2 separate regions of the Mus musculus genome follow, and region 2 is reported to be linked to region 1. The links are microRNA targets in miRTarBase. Many come from high-throughput screens and were not tested one by one. Region 1 holds a microRNA gene; the other region holds the end of a gene's coding sequence. Distances are between the middles of the regions.
Evidence for each region. Region 1 holds the annotated microRNA mmu-miR-181a-5p (AACAUUCAACGCUGUCGGUGAGU, at 3,956-3,978, shown strand). A microRNA usually pairs through its seed, bases 2 to 8, with sites in the 3' UTR of a target mRNA and lowers its output. Matches are read on the target gene's strand: a 7mer-m8 pairs with bases 2 to 8, a 7mer-A1 pairs with bases 2 to 7 and ends in A, and an 8mer does both.

Region 2: miRTarBase lists St8sia4 as a target of mmu-miR-181a-5p. Seed matches in the 3' UTR shown: 8mer at 1,744-1,751.

Annotation. Positions count from the first base shown.
Region 1 is chr1:137,962,513-137,970,659 of GRCm38, forward strand. Mir181a-1 (microRNA 181a-1) reads left to right here and starts at 3,943; the gene lies at 3,943-4,029. Mir181b-1 (microRNA 181b-1) reads left to right here and starts at 4,127; the gene lies at 4,127-4,206. It overlaps Gm4258 (a long non-coding RNA gene), which reads left to right. Exons shown (of 3, transcript XR_003948014.1): 3 at 1-508.
Region 2 is chr1:95,585,038-95,593,184 of GRCm38, reverse strand. St8sia4 (ST8 alpha-N-acetyl-neuraminide alpha-2,8-sialyltransferase 4) reads left to right here. Exons shown (of 5, transcript NM_009183.2): 5 at 1,221-5,503. The coding sequence ends at 1,503. Among named protein-coding and RNA genes, the nearest start is that of St8sia4, 78 kb to the left of the region's middle.

The sequences.
Region 1 (8,147 bases):
TGAGAGGCTGAGACAGACAGGAAGATCAAGAATTTGAGGCCAGCCTGACTAGGCATCTTAAAAGACTAAAGAAATGTAAAAGTATAGATATGAGATGACTGTGCAACTAAAGGCTCTTGCTGACCAAGCCTATCAGTTTGAATTAGATCCCCATCATTGCATGGTAGAAAGAGAAAAAAACAACTCCTGAAAGGTTTCCTCTGGCCTCTGTATGAAAGGCCTAGCATATCTGTGCCCTTTGTCCCAAATAGATGTAATAGAAAATAAATATAAGGTTCATTTATATTTAAAATATCTGCAAATAAAGGAGAAGTTCATGTTGGAGTTATATTGGTTCATTTTTAAGTCTTTTTTTATTACTGTAAACATTTCAGTTTGTATATTGTTTTTAAATGGAAAGCATAAAATATTTATGATGTATATGTATTACACTAAACTGTGTGGGTTTCTTATACTTAAATGTAGCTGATATGTACATTAAAAATCAATCCAGTGTTTTGTTTATTTGTTTGTTTGTTTCAATCACTGACATTTTTATTAAATAGACTACTAGGACATTTTACTTTCAGAAAGCAAAACGATAAGACATTTTGTAGGGCGAATAATGTAGATTACAACAGTGCTGAAAGAGAGGAGTATCATTCCTATGGGCCCTCATCTCTAAAGTGATGACTGTCTTTCAGTCAAGCTTTGGCGTGACTGTCCTATTTCCCTTCGGTGGAGACCAATGCCTATGGTCTCCGCTGAGCTCTTTAACCGTACTGCCTCCATTTTGGCCTCTCTGATGCTTTCACCTTTCCTACTGAGATGGGCAGAGGACCCTGTGATTATGATAATAATCCCAAAGAGTGAGCACTTGTAACTTGAGCTCTTATCTGTCTGACTGGGAAGAGAAAATTGCTAGAGCAGAGACATTTCATGAGATTTCTTGAACAGATAAATGATACCCCAACAGAAATAGACATGGACATTAAGAAGTGGCGTCTTGAGAACACCAACTCCAGTCATTCTGGAATCTTCTTCATCATATTTCACAGAGGGCATGCGCTTGCTTTGGAAAGGAGGAGGCAGTAATGTTTCCTACTGCGAGTATGACATTTCTTACTTCTTGCATTTTGAAAAGAGTCATATTCACAGCAGAAAACTAGTTTTTAATGAGCTTATGAATGTGTTCCTACCCCAGACCACGAAGACAATTTCCAGCTGACTAGAATTTAAGGATGAAATGTGCGTGGCAGCGCCATCTCCTTCCCTCTCATTTGTCAGATCAATGCCCCCATCCCAATTCAGGTCAAGGCATCCGGCAGAAGAGAGGGCTGCAGAGTGACAGTGAGATGCTCTATTTCACACACTTGCCCTCTGGAAAGGACTGGCAGAGGCAGTCACTTAAATTAAATACAGGTCATCAAACAAGATATACAGTCTATTTCTAAAACAGACAAGCCCAGCATCCCGAATCCCTGTGGCCTTTTACTGAGGCGCACTGTGCTTCTTTTTCATGCTCCTCTGTCAATTCATGTTAAAGTTTGCTTTGCTTAAAAGTGATATTTCATGTATTCTCTGACCCTCTTGCTCAAAGCAAAGAAATTGCTTTGGTTTATTTATGACCCGCTAACCTTAAGCAAAGCTGAACTTCTTAATGCTTCCAAAGCCCCGGGAGGAGAAATAAAAGCTAAAGTAAATTTGGCAATGGTGCAAGTCAGTTTTAACCTGTCCAGAAGACCTTCCAAAAATTATGAAGGGAGAATGGTTGCCTACGTGCACACAAATGACATATTTCTGGTGGCTCTTGATTCAGGAAAAACTGCAAGGAAGCAGATGGTTAACACCAATTTAGAATCCTGGAATCTTAACATTTTCTAAAAATAGTCAAATAAGACTCGACACCTGACAGAAAATGTAAAATTTCAATACTGTCCAACATTAATATTCCAGCCAATTATCAAATTTGGAAAATAACAGTGCAGACAAGGTTAGCTAGTAAAATAGTGATTGGAACCAGCATTGTAGAAAGCCGAGGAAAGGTAAGCTAAATCAGCAAGTAGACATCTTTCCCCTGTAGAATACCGTCCTGAAGTTATTCTCTTACTGTGAGGCAGGTGCAGCAAGAGCAGAGGTGCTTTTCCTCATGGAGAGTGAGTTTAAGTTATTGAGAGGTTTTTCTCATCAAAAACTATAGCCATGAGAAAAGTACATGTTTCATTGGATAAATAGGAGTTAAAATATGTCAGTGATGTGATGTTTAATCTAATTTCTTACTAAACACCAATCACTTTCAATCTCCTAAGAACTTCATGATAGTATTCTCCGTAATTTTATTCTAAGAATTTGAGAAATTTGGACTTATATTTTCTACAGAGAATTTTAGAAGGTTCTGGAAACCCCTCACATTGCGGTGCTTTGCTATTAATTGTGATTCGGATGGAAATTGCTTGATCGTAGTTCCAATTTTGTATATTGAGATAAGGCAATGATCATGGCTTAGAGTCTCAGCTCAGCAGCCTTGAAAAAATGATATCAAAAGCAATGACAGGTATGTATAGAAGCAATGGGATGCTGGCCTGAATATGATAGTGCAGTGGTCAAGCAAGGGAACATGAGCAACATGCATTCTGGTGAAACTGATAACACAGATGGTCCCAGGAAGACTTGCTTTCCTTCCACAAGAGACAGCCCTCTGCAGGAAAGCTATCTCAAAGGAAGCCACACAGGACTATTCAGATTCATCAGTTTTATGTCTTGTAACTATCTGAAGTCTGAATGCATGCCATCAGCAGATCGTTACCTTATCTACCTCAAAATACCAGCCAGAGACACTTGTCCTGTAATCTCTTCGTGTACAAGATAATAAATGATTACAGGTTTAGCATACAATATTCTAAGTAAATAAAATGAATATGTATAAAAATTTGGACTGAATGGTTCACCAATATTTTATTAATAGTTACACACACACACACACACACACACACACACACACACACACACACACACATATATATATATATATATATATATATATATATATATATATATATATACTTATTAAAGCCACTTAAGAGTCTACATAAGTATAATGTAGTAACTTTCTACCCTAGTTTTGAGGAGTACAAAGGGATTTTTGTTTAAGTTGATATTTGAAATCAGTTTTGAAGACATGCTCAATAGAGTTCATACTAACTTGTAAATGCACTTCATTTCAAGAACACCTAGGAAATGGATAGAAGTTACTGCCAGATCCACTCAATCAAAACAAATAACAATATTAGGATATAATAACCAAAGTGAGAGGAGTTGAATTTCAGGCAGTAGGCATAGGTTGTATTAATTTTCATTGTAGTTTAAAGTCTTGTGTCATAAGCAAAGAAAGATGTGCTAAATTGGTTTGATTCCTTGATTGTTTTAAAAATAAGTATGTTTAAAAGAAATTATACTAATTAAAATGCCTATTGTAAAATAAATGCTTATTCCATGCACATTGTAAACATAGAAGTTCAAAATTGTTAGCAATGTAACTTGAGAAAACCTAAGTGGTTTCTGCTTGATTCTGCATGACCTACATGCGTCCTTGCAGTTCTTATTATATACATACCAATATTTAAATTATGAGATACTTAGATACTATTTGTTTTGCTTTTTGATAGTTCCAATTTTGTTGAATGATAAATTCTCCCTGTCTTTAACAGCCTGTAACTAAGCTCCCCCCAAAAGGACTTTTCTTCCCTTTTGAAAAAAAAAAATCCGATTCTTTTCTTTGACACAGCACAAAGTGGAGGTTTGCCAAGCTCTGGGCTGGAGGAATCCTGCTTCTTTTCTTCTGTACTCTTTTGAAATGGTTTAAAATGTGTGACAGGTTTGGTTAAAGGATTGGGCTTTCCTCTGCCTCCCTCCTGCTCCAGACTCCCACAGATACTGTTTAAATCAGCACATCTCTGCCTCACAGGTTGCTTCAGTGAACATTCAACGCTGTCGGTGAGTTTGGAATTCAAATAAAAACCATCGACCGTTGATTGTACCCTATAGCTAACCATCATCTACTCCATGGCCCTCTGCGTTTGCTGAAGACAGAACCGCAAAGCAGGACCCGACAGGATTCTCCCCGCCTCTTCAGAGACTATGTTTACAAAGGTCACAATCAACATTCATTGCTGTCGGTGGGTTGAACTGTGTAGAAAAGCTCACTGAACAATGAATGCAACTGTGGCCCCGCTTTTTGCTGTCGCAATCAACAGACGTTCCCTCCCTAATAGAGGTCCTGGGGGTATTAACGCCGTTTCTCGGTTTAACTTCTGCTGTCTGAACTTTCAGGTTTGTTTATTCAATTCATATCAAGTCCTATTTCTGTGAGGAAGTCACTAATTTATATAAGAATACTGCTTTTCTATACTCCTGGGGGTTACAAATGGGGCATTTCTTAAAAATGCTAAAGTGTTGGATGCCCAGAATCAACTGTGTAGCCCTGGGTTGGCACGGCTTCCTGCTCTGCTGTGCTGGTGGGAGGAAGAACCAAAGAAATATCTTACTTCCTGCCCCGTTATCCGTCACATTGTTACACAGAAAATAACCATCCCCTCATCTTTCATTAGATTTCTTGGTCAAAATGGGCTTGAAGCAAGAGGGAATTCTTTTGCTCTGCATAAAGAATCGCTGAAATGGCTCTACTCTCTATGGAATTGGTAGGCAGAGGGATAGTACCTCAATAGCCAAGTACTTTGTTATCCAGGGGCTCATTATAATCATGCAATAGATTTGTTTCCCCAGAGAGACCTCAGATTTAAGATTATAGTTCATCATCTTTATTTACCCTCTACTTTCTTCTGAAATGGTAGACTTGATTCCAGGGACTGTCTTCAAGCAAGTGTGTGTGTGTGTGTGTGTGTGTGTGTGTGTGTGTGTGTGTGTGTGTGTTTCCTAACTAGTTTGGCTCTATAATTTCAAAAAGAACATCTGTCATTAAGGTTCATCACCTCCAATAGTAAGTACAGTGGTTGGAGTTAATATTTATAACAGGATGTTCAGCATACAGTGTGTACATGGTACCTAGTACATGGTACCTAATAGATTTTAATTCGTTGGGAAAAAATCTATCAAACATATTGTCCTTTCTCTCTCTTGATCAGTTTATTATGATATACATTCAACTCCCACTACAGAAATCCATTCCTGGGACCTTGCTCTAGTGTTCAGAATATTCATTCCCACAGTATTTTACGTAGTTAGTTCACAAGTGCCTGCCTTGCTTGGGGCATCTCTATCTATCATAACTCCTTTCTCCCACCGTCTGTTTCGTTCCATTTAACGTATGACAAGGCTCTAATCTCAACAAAAAACAAGAAGTTCAAAAAAAAGTTTCTATTCCTGCTTCATTCACTGAACAGCCCCCTTCTTTTTTCTATCTTAAAAAGCTATGAGTTTGGAAACGTCACTTAATTAGTAACCTGCAGAAGAGTCTCTATTTGTGTGTTCTCTCATTACTTCTCTTCAGCCCACAATTTGACATCTTGAAACATTGCTCTCTCCCAATTGTGCAGATTTTTTTTTAATGGAAGCTGGTCTTGGTGAAACCAAATCACCAGTATTATTCCACCCCTGGTAGCAAACTTCCTACTCTTCTTCCATAAAATCATTCCCTTTAAGTTCCATATTTAAGTGGATCCTGCGGCACTGGCCTCTATTTCATTGATTATAAATTCATCCAGGTATATATTTGTTGATAAACTTTTCTAAGCCTGGATAGTATTTCATTTCATATGTGTATTTGTGTGTGTATGTGTGTGTGTGTGTATTCGTATATATGCTAAGGTAATGGAGATATGTAGATATATAGGTATATGTGTGTGTATACATATATGTGTATATATATATGTGTGTGTGTGTGTGTGTATACCTATGAAAACATCCATAATGTCAGAATATTTTCTCTACTCATTCATTGATTGAAGGACACTTTGTTACCAAAGCTTGGCTATTATCAATAATGTTGAAATGAAGAGAGTACAAATACCTCTTTGATATACATATCTCAGTACACACACACACACACACACACACACACAGAGGATGTAGGGATGTGAGGACATATAATTTAGGGATACTATTTTCATTTTTTGGAAGACATGTCATCCGGTTTTCCCAAATAGTTGCACTAATTTACATCTAGCGTTCACAGTGGTTTCCTGTGTCTTTATTCCTTTCCATTACCCTCTTAGCTCTTGTCACTTGCTACCATGTATTTGATAATGTCCATTCTAACAGGGGGTAGGCATAAAATGATTATGATTTCAATGTGCATTTACCTGATGGGGTGACAAAATTTTTCCACATATTTGCACTTTAAATTTTTAGTACATTATTTATTATTATTTATGTTTCTTTAAAACAGTCTGAGTGTTTGATGTGAATGATATAAAAGTCAATTTGTAAAAAAAAATTCTTAAGATTGTACTGTTCATGTATATAGGCTTGAATTCAAAGCATAATAAAATATTAAATTTTAATTACTCATTTGAGTTTGACTTTTTATGAGCTACACGAACTATTATCACATGAATTCACTATGTAATGGTGAGTTTTTAGAAATTTATGAATTACAAGTCTTACTGATTCTTGATGGGAAGATAAGTACAAAATTCATATCCCAGGTTGTACTTCTAAAGACGGCGATTTTTGAGGCAGCATCTCCATGTGTGGACCATATAGGTCTGGTGGCTTACTCTGTTCTCAGCTTCCAGAGTCCTAGCATCACAGCTTTTTATGACATCATGCTTATGATGTAATTATAAGTAATAGTAGGCAGTCATTGTCCAAGTTGTAATGCCAAGATATGATAAGGAATATATACAGGAAAACAAAATGTTCTCAAAATTCAAAGGCATTCTTAGGCTGTTTAGTTATATTTCATAACTCTTTCTTCTTCTTTGGGTAGTTCAAAAAAGAGATCATCTCATTTTCATGTGTTGTTTTCTCTCAAGTACAGTTATTGACAAATTCACTTAGTTAAAATCTCTATTGTTGGGTAGATGTTTTCTGAGAAGTTTTCTCATGGGGCTGGGGAGATGGCTCAGTGATTAAGAACACTGCTATTCTTTCAACAGGACTTGCCTGGAACCCATATCAGGTAGCTCCTAGCAGCCTACAAGTCAAATTCTGGGCAATTGGAGTCCCTTTCTGACCTCCATAAGAACCTGTATATATGTGGCATAGCTCCATAAATACACATACACATGTGCATGTACATACATATACACACACAAAAAGTGTGCTTCTTTTTATATTGCTGTGTTTTGTTTCAAGCCACAATATCTGCCTCTTTGCTGTCCTGAACACTAAAAACTTTGGTTGAAAAAGAAAGAAGGAAAGAAAGAAAGAAAGAAAGAAAGAAAGAAAGAAAGAAAGAAAGAAAGGAAGGAAGGAAGGAAGGGAGAGAGAGAGAGAGAGAGAGAGAGAGAGAGAGAGAGAGAGAGAGAGAGAGAGAGAAAGAAAGAAGAAAGAAAGATAGAAAAATAGAAAGAAAGAAAGAAAGAAAGAAAGAAAGAAAGAAAGAAAAGAAAGAAAGAAAGAAAGAAAGAAAGAAAGAAAGAAAGAAAGAAAGAAAGAAAGGAAAGAAAGAAAGAAAGAAAGAAAGAAAGAAAGAAAGAAAGAAAGAAAGAAAGAAAGAAAGAAAGAAAGGGAAAAGTTACACTTAGGAGCTAAAGGGAACTGCAACCCTATAGGTGGAACAACATTATGAACTAACCAGTACCCCGGAGCTCTTGTCTCTAACTGCATATGTATCAAAAGATGGCCTAGTCGGCCATCACTGCAAAGAGAGGCCCATTGGACTTGCAAACTTTATATGCCCCAGTACAGGGAAATGCCAGGGCCAAAAAGGGGGAGTGGGTGAGTAGGGGTTTGGGGGGGTGGGTATGGGGGACTTTTGGGATAGCATTGAAAATGTAAATGAGGAAAATACCTAATAAAAAATAAATTTAAAAAAAAAGATTTGATGAACTTACAAAAATAAGGCTAAATGGAATTACCTTTATCATACAGAAACAGAGATACAACTTTTCCTTTAATCCTCACAAACCATTAGAGAGAGAAGATATTCTTTTATAAATAGGACAAGACATTAACATAGCAAATGTCACAGTGCAGGCCACGCGAGG
Region 2 (8,147 bases), 42 Mb from region 1:
AAAGCAATAATAAAAATTTAAAAAATGTAATTTATTAAGTGTTCTGTATTTGATCAAGACACATTTATAGTCACAGGAAATTCGCACTCTTCCTCTTTTAGTTGTTTTCACATGACATCATTTTCCTTAAGGAAATGATGTGCCCAAAAGTGCTGGAGATCCCCTTTCCTCTAAAGGTGATTATTATCTGTGGGTTTGTATAATATTCAGGCCAGCAAAATTTGGCAAGTAAGATGGATCTGAGAATTTTGAAGTATTTTATTGTTGTTACAAGTTAATATTATGAAATACATTTCACCATGGGGATACATCTTACATACTTAAGCTGAAATTCATGGTCTCACAGAAGGTTCTGGTTAATAAATAATGGGTCACAAAATAAACAAAAGGACAGGAATGTGGGCAAAGGACCTGAATGGAGGACTAAGATGGCATAGGAGGGATGAAGAAAAGAGGGTGGGGTAAGAGAAAACAGAAAGCAGCATACATGTATTAAATTACCAGGGAACATTTTACCAATAAAGAATTTTAAAATATCAAATAATATATAGTGAACTCTATTAATTTATTATAAAAATAGATTTTATTTGTCTTAGTGTTTTTGTTTTGTTGATATAATGCTTTAAATTTTCTCTATTAAAATATGGTTTTATGATTGGAGTTGAAAAGGTCAGTTGACATAATTTGAGTTAAGCATTCATTTGGCTCTTTTTGGGTCTTTGAGAATGGTTTTGTGTAAGCTTGAGGGTGGAGGTCAATGCTGGATGCTGCTACCATAGAAAAAATGATCAATGAGACTCAAGAATCCACCTCCCTCTGCATACCATGCCAAGGCTGTCATGTGACATCTGACGATCAAATCTGGAGTCATTGATGTTGTGATTTTCAATGACATTTACATCATTATGTAAATATTCTACTCAGAATGTTAGATACAAGTTTATTTCTGATTAATTTGGAATTGCATATTCTAGAATAGAATTAACCTATGCTTTCATGTCCCTTAGCTGTTTTTATGGAATGACAAATATATAAGGAGATAAAAGATAATGCAGAAGTATAAAATTTTCTATCTACATATATGCTACTTTTCAGTAACCACTGAAAAGTTTATTCATATTTATACATTGTGTTTGCTACATGATATGACTTTTATAGAATGTGCTCTTGTATATTACTATGAATTTTCTCTGTTTTACTTTTGTTTTTGTTTCTTCTAGATACTGGCTGACTAACAAAGTTCCTATCAAAAGACCTAGCACAGGTCTCCTCATGTATACACTTGCCACCAGATTCTGTGATGAAATTCACCTTTATGGATTCTGGCCATTTCCCAAGGATCTGAATGGAAAAGCTGTCAAATATCATTACTATGATGACTTAAAATATAGATACTTTTCCAACGCCAGTCCTCACAGGATGCCATTAGAATTTAAAACATTGAATGTGCTACACAATAGAGGAGCTCTAAAACTGACCACAGGAAAGTGCATGAAGCAATAAGGCACACTTTGGAGGATAAAAACTGAACACAGACTTTGTTTTTTTAAGATGCTTCTGGAGATTTAGAATCAGGATCCAAAATAAGGCTGGGATTCAGCATCCACCACTTGACTGAGTAGCTGAAATGGAAGTCTGTGTGAATTCACCACCAGCTGATGAAAAACCTGCAAAGTGCTCTGACTACAACATATTCTGACTTCAAGGGTCCTAGTAAGTGCCACTTCCATGAAGAATACAGTTTGAATGTATTATCAGTAGTGTTTACAAGATTCAACAGTGCACTCAACATCAGTTAGCAAAGCAAACATGTTCATCACTGTGGGGCAGCCACTGTAATGCCAAGCACACTGGAAGAGGAACCCAGGAGCACAGCTCAGCCCTTGGGACTTGAAAACATCCTTAGTAGAAATGAAGAAGGAGAGAGTTCAAGCAGTGAAATCCATGACATGAAGCAACTTGAGGAAACGCTTTCAGTCAGGACACTGAGAATGGTCATGTTTACGTTTTGCTTATATTTCTTGTTTGTCTTCTGACATTTATTTTGGTTTGGGTTTGGGTGCTTAGAAATTCATTTGAGATACAGAAATGGGAAACACATGTGAATGAGAAAAACGAACATCAAACAGTCCTTTCTAAAGTCCTTATATATTTTTAAACAACAGTCACACCAAACTTATGCTTGTTCGTTTGTTTGTTTGTTTTACTTTGCACAACTCTAAATCTCTGGATTATAGATCAATGGTGTAGTGGGTACCAGCCAAACTATACCACTCGATATTAGTAGACTATTATGAAGGAGTGATATTTGAAAAATGGTAAAAATAGCAGAAAAGTTTCACTCTTGGTACCAAAGATTATATCATGTTCCTACACAGTAAGCCACTCTCCTGTTATAAAGAGAATATATTATTAACATGAACACATTTATATGAAGTTAATAGGAAACTCAGCTCTACACAGTTAAAAATTTCAAGTTCAAACATTACTTTTAATTTACTTCTTTGACATTTCATCATAATTTTGTGGAAATCCATGGCCAGGTAGATTGTTGGATTGAAGTAGCTGAAATGAGACTTCTCATTCAGTAAAATCTTCTTGGCTATTCAGGTGCAGAGATCAATATGAAGCACTTACTATTATTTTAAAATTTCTCTCCACAAAATAAGATGATTAACTGAGTGTTGTTTTCATAACAGGTAATTAATTCAAAGCAGTTTAACAATAACACATCAACAATACGTCAAATGAATTCAGTTAACAAGGATTTTTCTGTAGTTAAGTACAGTTCCATTATGACTGCATTTTTTAAAACAACATGAACTTACTCATAGAGTGACTTACTGACTTACATACGTGACTGAATTGACTGGTGGCCAGGCTTTCTGTTTCTTTTGAAAGCAGAACTATATTCTTACTTCTGCTTTTGCCTGCAGCAATTTAACATGACTTCCTGTTTCTTGGGGAAGGCAATCAGAAGAAAGCAGAAATGGCATGAAAAATGTGTATGTTTTGTTTTTCTAAGTCAGGCAATCTAAAATGAATGAAGAGCACAGCAAAGGTATACATATATATTATATATGTATTCATATTCTGGACAAGGATAGTCATGTAGTACAGTTACCAAATTTTTAATATTAGCTGCAGTGTTTTTTAAAACAGTGATAGAATCTCAGGATAAAAATAACAGTTTCTGAGAATCCATGTATCTATCAGAAAGGAAAAGAGAATGGATATGGGCATTTCATAACCAGTATATACCTTTATCATTAAATTTCATTTTTATTTCGCAATTCAATACATTTAATAAAAAGTGTTAAATATGTGTTATGTAGATGTTAAATTGAAAGTCTAATACACTGGATGTGTGATCATTGGATAATATATAAAACTTATTTTGAACTCTATGCAGATCTGTGTTCCCACCAACAGCTAACATGAATTCCTTAGAAATCCAGAGGTTGCAAGTAAATTCTGGCAAGTAAATTCTATCTTGGCACTCATTCAAAGTATGTATCTGAAAGCAGCAGCATACCATCTTGACTGAAATTTTAAGAAGGGAAAAAAAGATGTGTTTAAACAACATTTTGGCCACAGCAAGCACAGCTTAGCCATTCACTTTTGCATGCATTGATGTCTATCTCTTACATGCATTGAGTAGTGCCTTTTAATGTCTTTGCATTGATTCTTCACCCTCTGCTTTGTGTTTCCTAAATGCTTGCCCAGTTAGAGAAATGTTCAGTATCAAAAGGGCTTCAGATTTGAGAGATAACTACTTTTGTTCATCTCAGGGAACTTTCAGTACATAAGAATGGATTCAATTAAAGACATTTAGCACTCAAAGAGGAAATATTGTGTGAGATTATTTCATCCTCACACACACACCCTTTCATTTGCCATCACTGCTCAATCCCTATCACGGCTTTCTTACAGGAGGAAGGCAAGGAGAGAATTGAAGACTAACAGTAGAGAAAAGAGTTAGGACTTAACACACATGATGGCATAAGGAATCATAACAAAATCAAATTATAAGCATATACTTGAACTATCTGTGATTTCCTTAATATGGTATGCTAACAGCTTTATTTGTTTTATTTCCTTTTTCTAATGTTTTAATCATGCACTTGGGAATACCCAGGTAGCTGACTGTGAAATATCCCAGTCACTGAGCTAACATGATTGCTACTGTGCTTTTGACATGAACAGACCATGGAAATATTTTCATCATTGCTACTCAGCATAAACTATACTTAATAAAAAGTTGTTGAAAGAAAACATGAATCAATAATAGATTTTCAGAGCAAATCTAGTGATTCAGCCCACAGGACCAATGAAAGTACTGTGGAAGCTTTCCTCACTTAGAGAAGGTGCTGGGCATTCAAATGTCTTCATGTGTTGTATTTCATATGAGCTGTATATCAATTGTTAATGAAAATCTCCACATATATCCTTACAGAAATGCTTTATTCAAGAAATGCTAAGGGTAGTGTACAGACAAGTGATTTACTCAGTTACTATTCAAGAAAGGGTAAGCAAAGTAATTTATTTATAGTTGTGCCAGTTAGTCATAATACATATTATGTGATATTTGGTTCACAGAGTTGTTTTCATGTGATTATTATGAGGACTATCTATAGTTGTGGAAGGGGGATGGAAAAGTTGTGTATAGTTAGCTGGTATCTCTACAAGTTTGAGAGTTTCCCCATTAAATGTTATCAATATACCAAGGTTTTAATAAAAACAAGTAAGGTTAATTATTTGTATTTGATAAACAAACTCCAAATACAACCCATCTAGAAATAGATATTTTATTATATATGTGCTATAAATATATCTATATAGTACAAATAGAAATGTGTGATGCATATATACCATGTTATATATGTATATCTGTGTGTACACACTGATTCTGTAATATGTGCACAACTAGATGTGTGTTATATTGATATCTTCAGGGTCTGCACTGTGAACTGCCCTGGAGATCATGGCCACTTTAAAAACAGAAGTTCTTTTGAAACTTCATTTACTACTCTGCTTTAAGAAAGACCTACTTTGTAGCTGAATTATATGTTCTTTCCTAGAGTAATAGTAAGCAGCTAGTATGTTCAAATCTTTCAAAACAAAAGTCAAGGAAAAAATATCTTCAAGCTGGCAATGTATTTATTTAAATTGCGGTTTTTTGATTGTTGGTCTAGGTTGTGTGTTTCTCTTTTATGTAGCGCCTTTTAAGAAATACTGGGGTTTTTTTGTGTGTGTGTGTCGGTGAAAGCACAAGTGTTTTTGATGTATATAGCAAGAAGAGAAAAAAGTTTCCAGATAGCTTTGCTGCATAGGATAATTGCTACTGAGCCTTTCTTATACCATCTGTGGAAAGGAAGGATGAAGCTTACTCTGTAGGTTCATTCTGATCAACAATATCTTCTGTTGTTTGTGCATAGCAATGGACTATTACTGCTTTATCATTTGTACAATTGTAAAATAAATTAAATTACTTGTTTTTCAATTTTTTTCTCTTATCTTCTATATCTACGCCTTCGACTTCATGGCATATGTCAATATGGGGTGGCTGCATTTATGAAGGTTTCATTACTGCTTAAGTCTTTTCCAATTTCAGCCTCACTCACAATTAGTTTAAACATTTATTTCAAATGCACTCATGGATGTATAAGTAATTTCAATACCAGCATGAATATCAGGCAGCACTCAAAAGTTTGGGGGTGGAATATTTTCTGTGTGCTTTGGAGTCTGGGGCCTTCACTACATAGGTTACTGCAATTGTTTCTAATTCATACTTCCACTAGGTATTATAGCTGAGTCATTTGCCCTCTGGGACTAGAGCATTGCTGACTTTTTATACAGCATTTCCTAGGGCTGCCTGTTAATATGTGACTTCATCTGCAAATTGCTGCCATTTGCTGTTTGCCTCCCAGAAGATGACTTAGAAGGACTATTTACTTAAATCGTTTTCCAGACCTTTCAATAACTTACAAATCTATGTTTTCAGTCATAACCTCTCTATTCGGGAACACACTTTAAAAGTAATTTTATGAGGTACCTTTCAACATTGTACAATTATGAGTCAAATGCTACTAGACACTATCACAGGACTATTAGGAATGGTTGATAAGTCTATATGTCCTTTTTATTTTTTCTTTAAGCTTTCATACCTACATTTACTTTTCAGTATCCATAAATAATGTTCATTCTGTCTCTATCTGTTGGGATAGTCAGTTCACATGCTGAATCCCAGCTCTGATGGTGCGCAACAGCTCACAGAACTATGTGCAAGCATTGGTGAATTTCAATCAATTCTATAAAACTGCATGATAAAAAAAATCTACTTTTGCTGTTAAATACACATACCTTAATGCGTGTTTTAACTTAAAATATATTTAAATGTCTAAATTGTGACTAGAACCTGACATCATTATTTTCAGTATACAATTAAATGTGCAAGGGACTAAATGGCATGTCCTCATACAGTTCTAGTGTGCACACAGGAAAAATTAAACATTATAATATGCAACAGACTCTGAGGAACAGTAAAATTAAGCAGAAAATAAACTAATATACAAGGGACTGTATTTATAGTAATAACAAACTGAATGAATGCTTATAGTATCTCAAGATTCATTAAGCTAATTTGTGTTTCACCTTTCTTGTATTAACAGCGGTTAAACCATCTACCCTTTAGATTCAAATACTTTTCTGAATACACACAGACACCCCCCCACACACACACAGACATATACACACACATATATAATAGTATTTTTCATATTTTATAGCATATAATATATAATCTACAATATACATATAATATATACATATATATATATATATATATATTAACTTACTCACTTTGAATAAAACTATAAGACCTAGGTACTGCCATCATTTAAATTTGACACATTCTAATAAAAAGATTATAAGATGTCTTCAAGGAAACATGATTCAGAAGTAAGAAACTGGGGACTTGAACTCATTGACTCTAGGATGGACTCTCTCCTGTATCTTAGGACTATACTCTCTCAGAGCTTCCTCTTCCTCACTAGCCGTGATGCCCTTTTGAAATGTGGTTAGAGAACGTTTTGCAGTAGATGGTGATCAGCACAGAGACACGTAGCTGGTCACTGTGCTCAGAAAAAGATGTTGTGGATTGTTCAACCCTAAATGGGGCAACTGTATTTCAATCCTTCATTAGAAGGCTCAGGGATCATTGTATAAAGTGGGGAAGAAGGCTTCTCAGAACCCAAAGCAATGTATGACAACAAGAAAGGAGCTTCTTCTGTAAGACTGCATGGCAGCGGCTCATATTAACTCTCCGTAGTTGTTACAACAAACCTAAGACCTTTGCAAGCTCAAGCAAGATCAAAGTTCAGTATTCAGAGTAGATGTAGCCACAGAGTCTCACTCCTAGGCAAGCAACTATTGCCTGATAGCTACTAGGTGATGGGGTGTCAGTGTTCTCTAGTCTAGTTCCCAGTAAGTTGAGTATGCTCCAGTGTTAAGGCCACACCTCCAAGCATACTTCAGCAGCACAAAGTAGACTTGAGAGGTAAGTGAATAAAAGTACATTATGTTTGCTAGATCAGGAAGTAGAGAGTTAATAGGAAGCTCTCAGATCAGTAGAAGCTTTGTTTCTCCATGTTCCATGACTCAAATATTTAGAAATTTTAACAATTATGGTCTTACTGTCAAGTTATGACGTTTTGACCAAAAGTCTACAATCTATGATGTTTCGAGTCCATAGGACCTCACTGGACAACAACTCAGAAGAGATAACTGAGGCTTTTTATGTGTACTGGTTTTTTATTGGCTAGATTGTAATGTTTAGTGAGAGCATAACACCCCAAGAGAGGGAAGCAATATTTAAGCTAACACCATCCCTACACCAATATTTTTGGAGACTCTACTTTAGAAGGTTAATCTATGACTTTTTTGAAAGGCTATTAGTGCTGCCTTTCTCTGCATTCCTCTTATTAACTTGCCTTCCCTCCCTCATCCCAGTTCAACCCTCCCTCTTCCATCCTTTTCTTTGTTTTATTTATACCAGTGAATTCTATCTTGCATCCCTTGAAAACCTCTTGTTTCCATGACTCCTTACTAACTTCCTGATGCCTGTGGGTATTCCATATGAGACAATA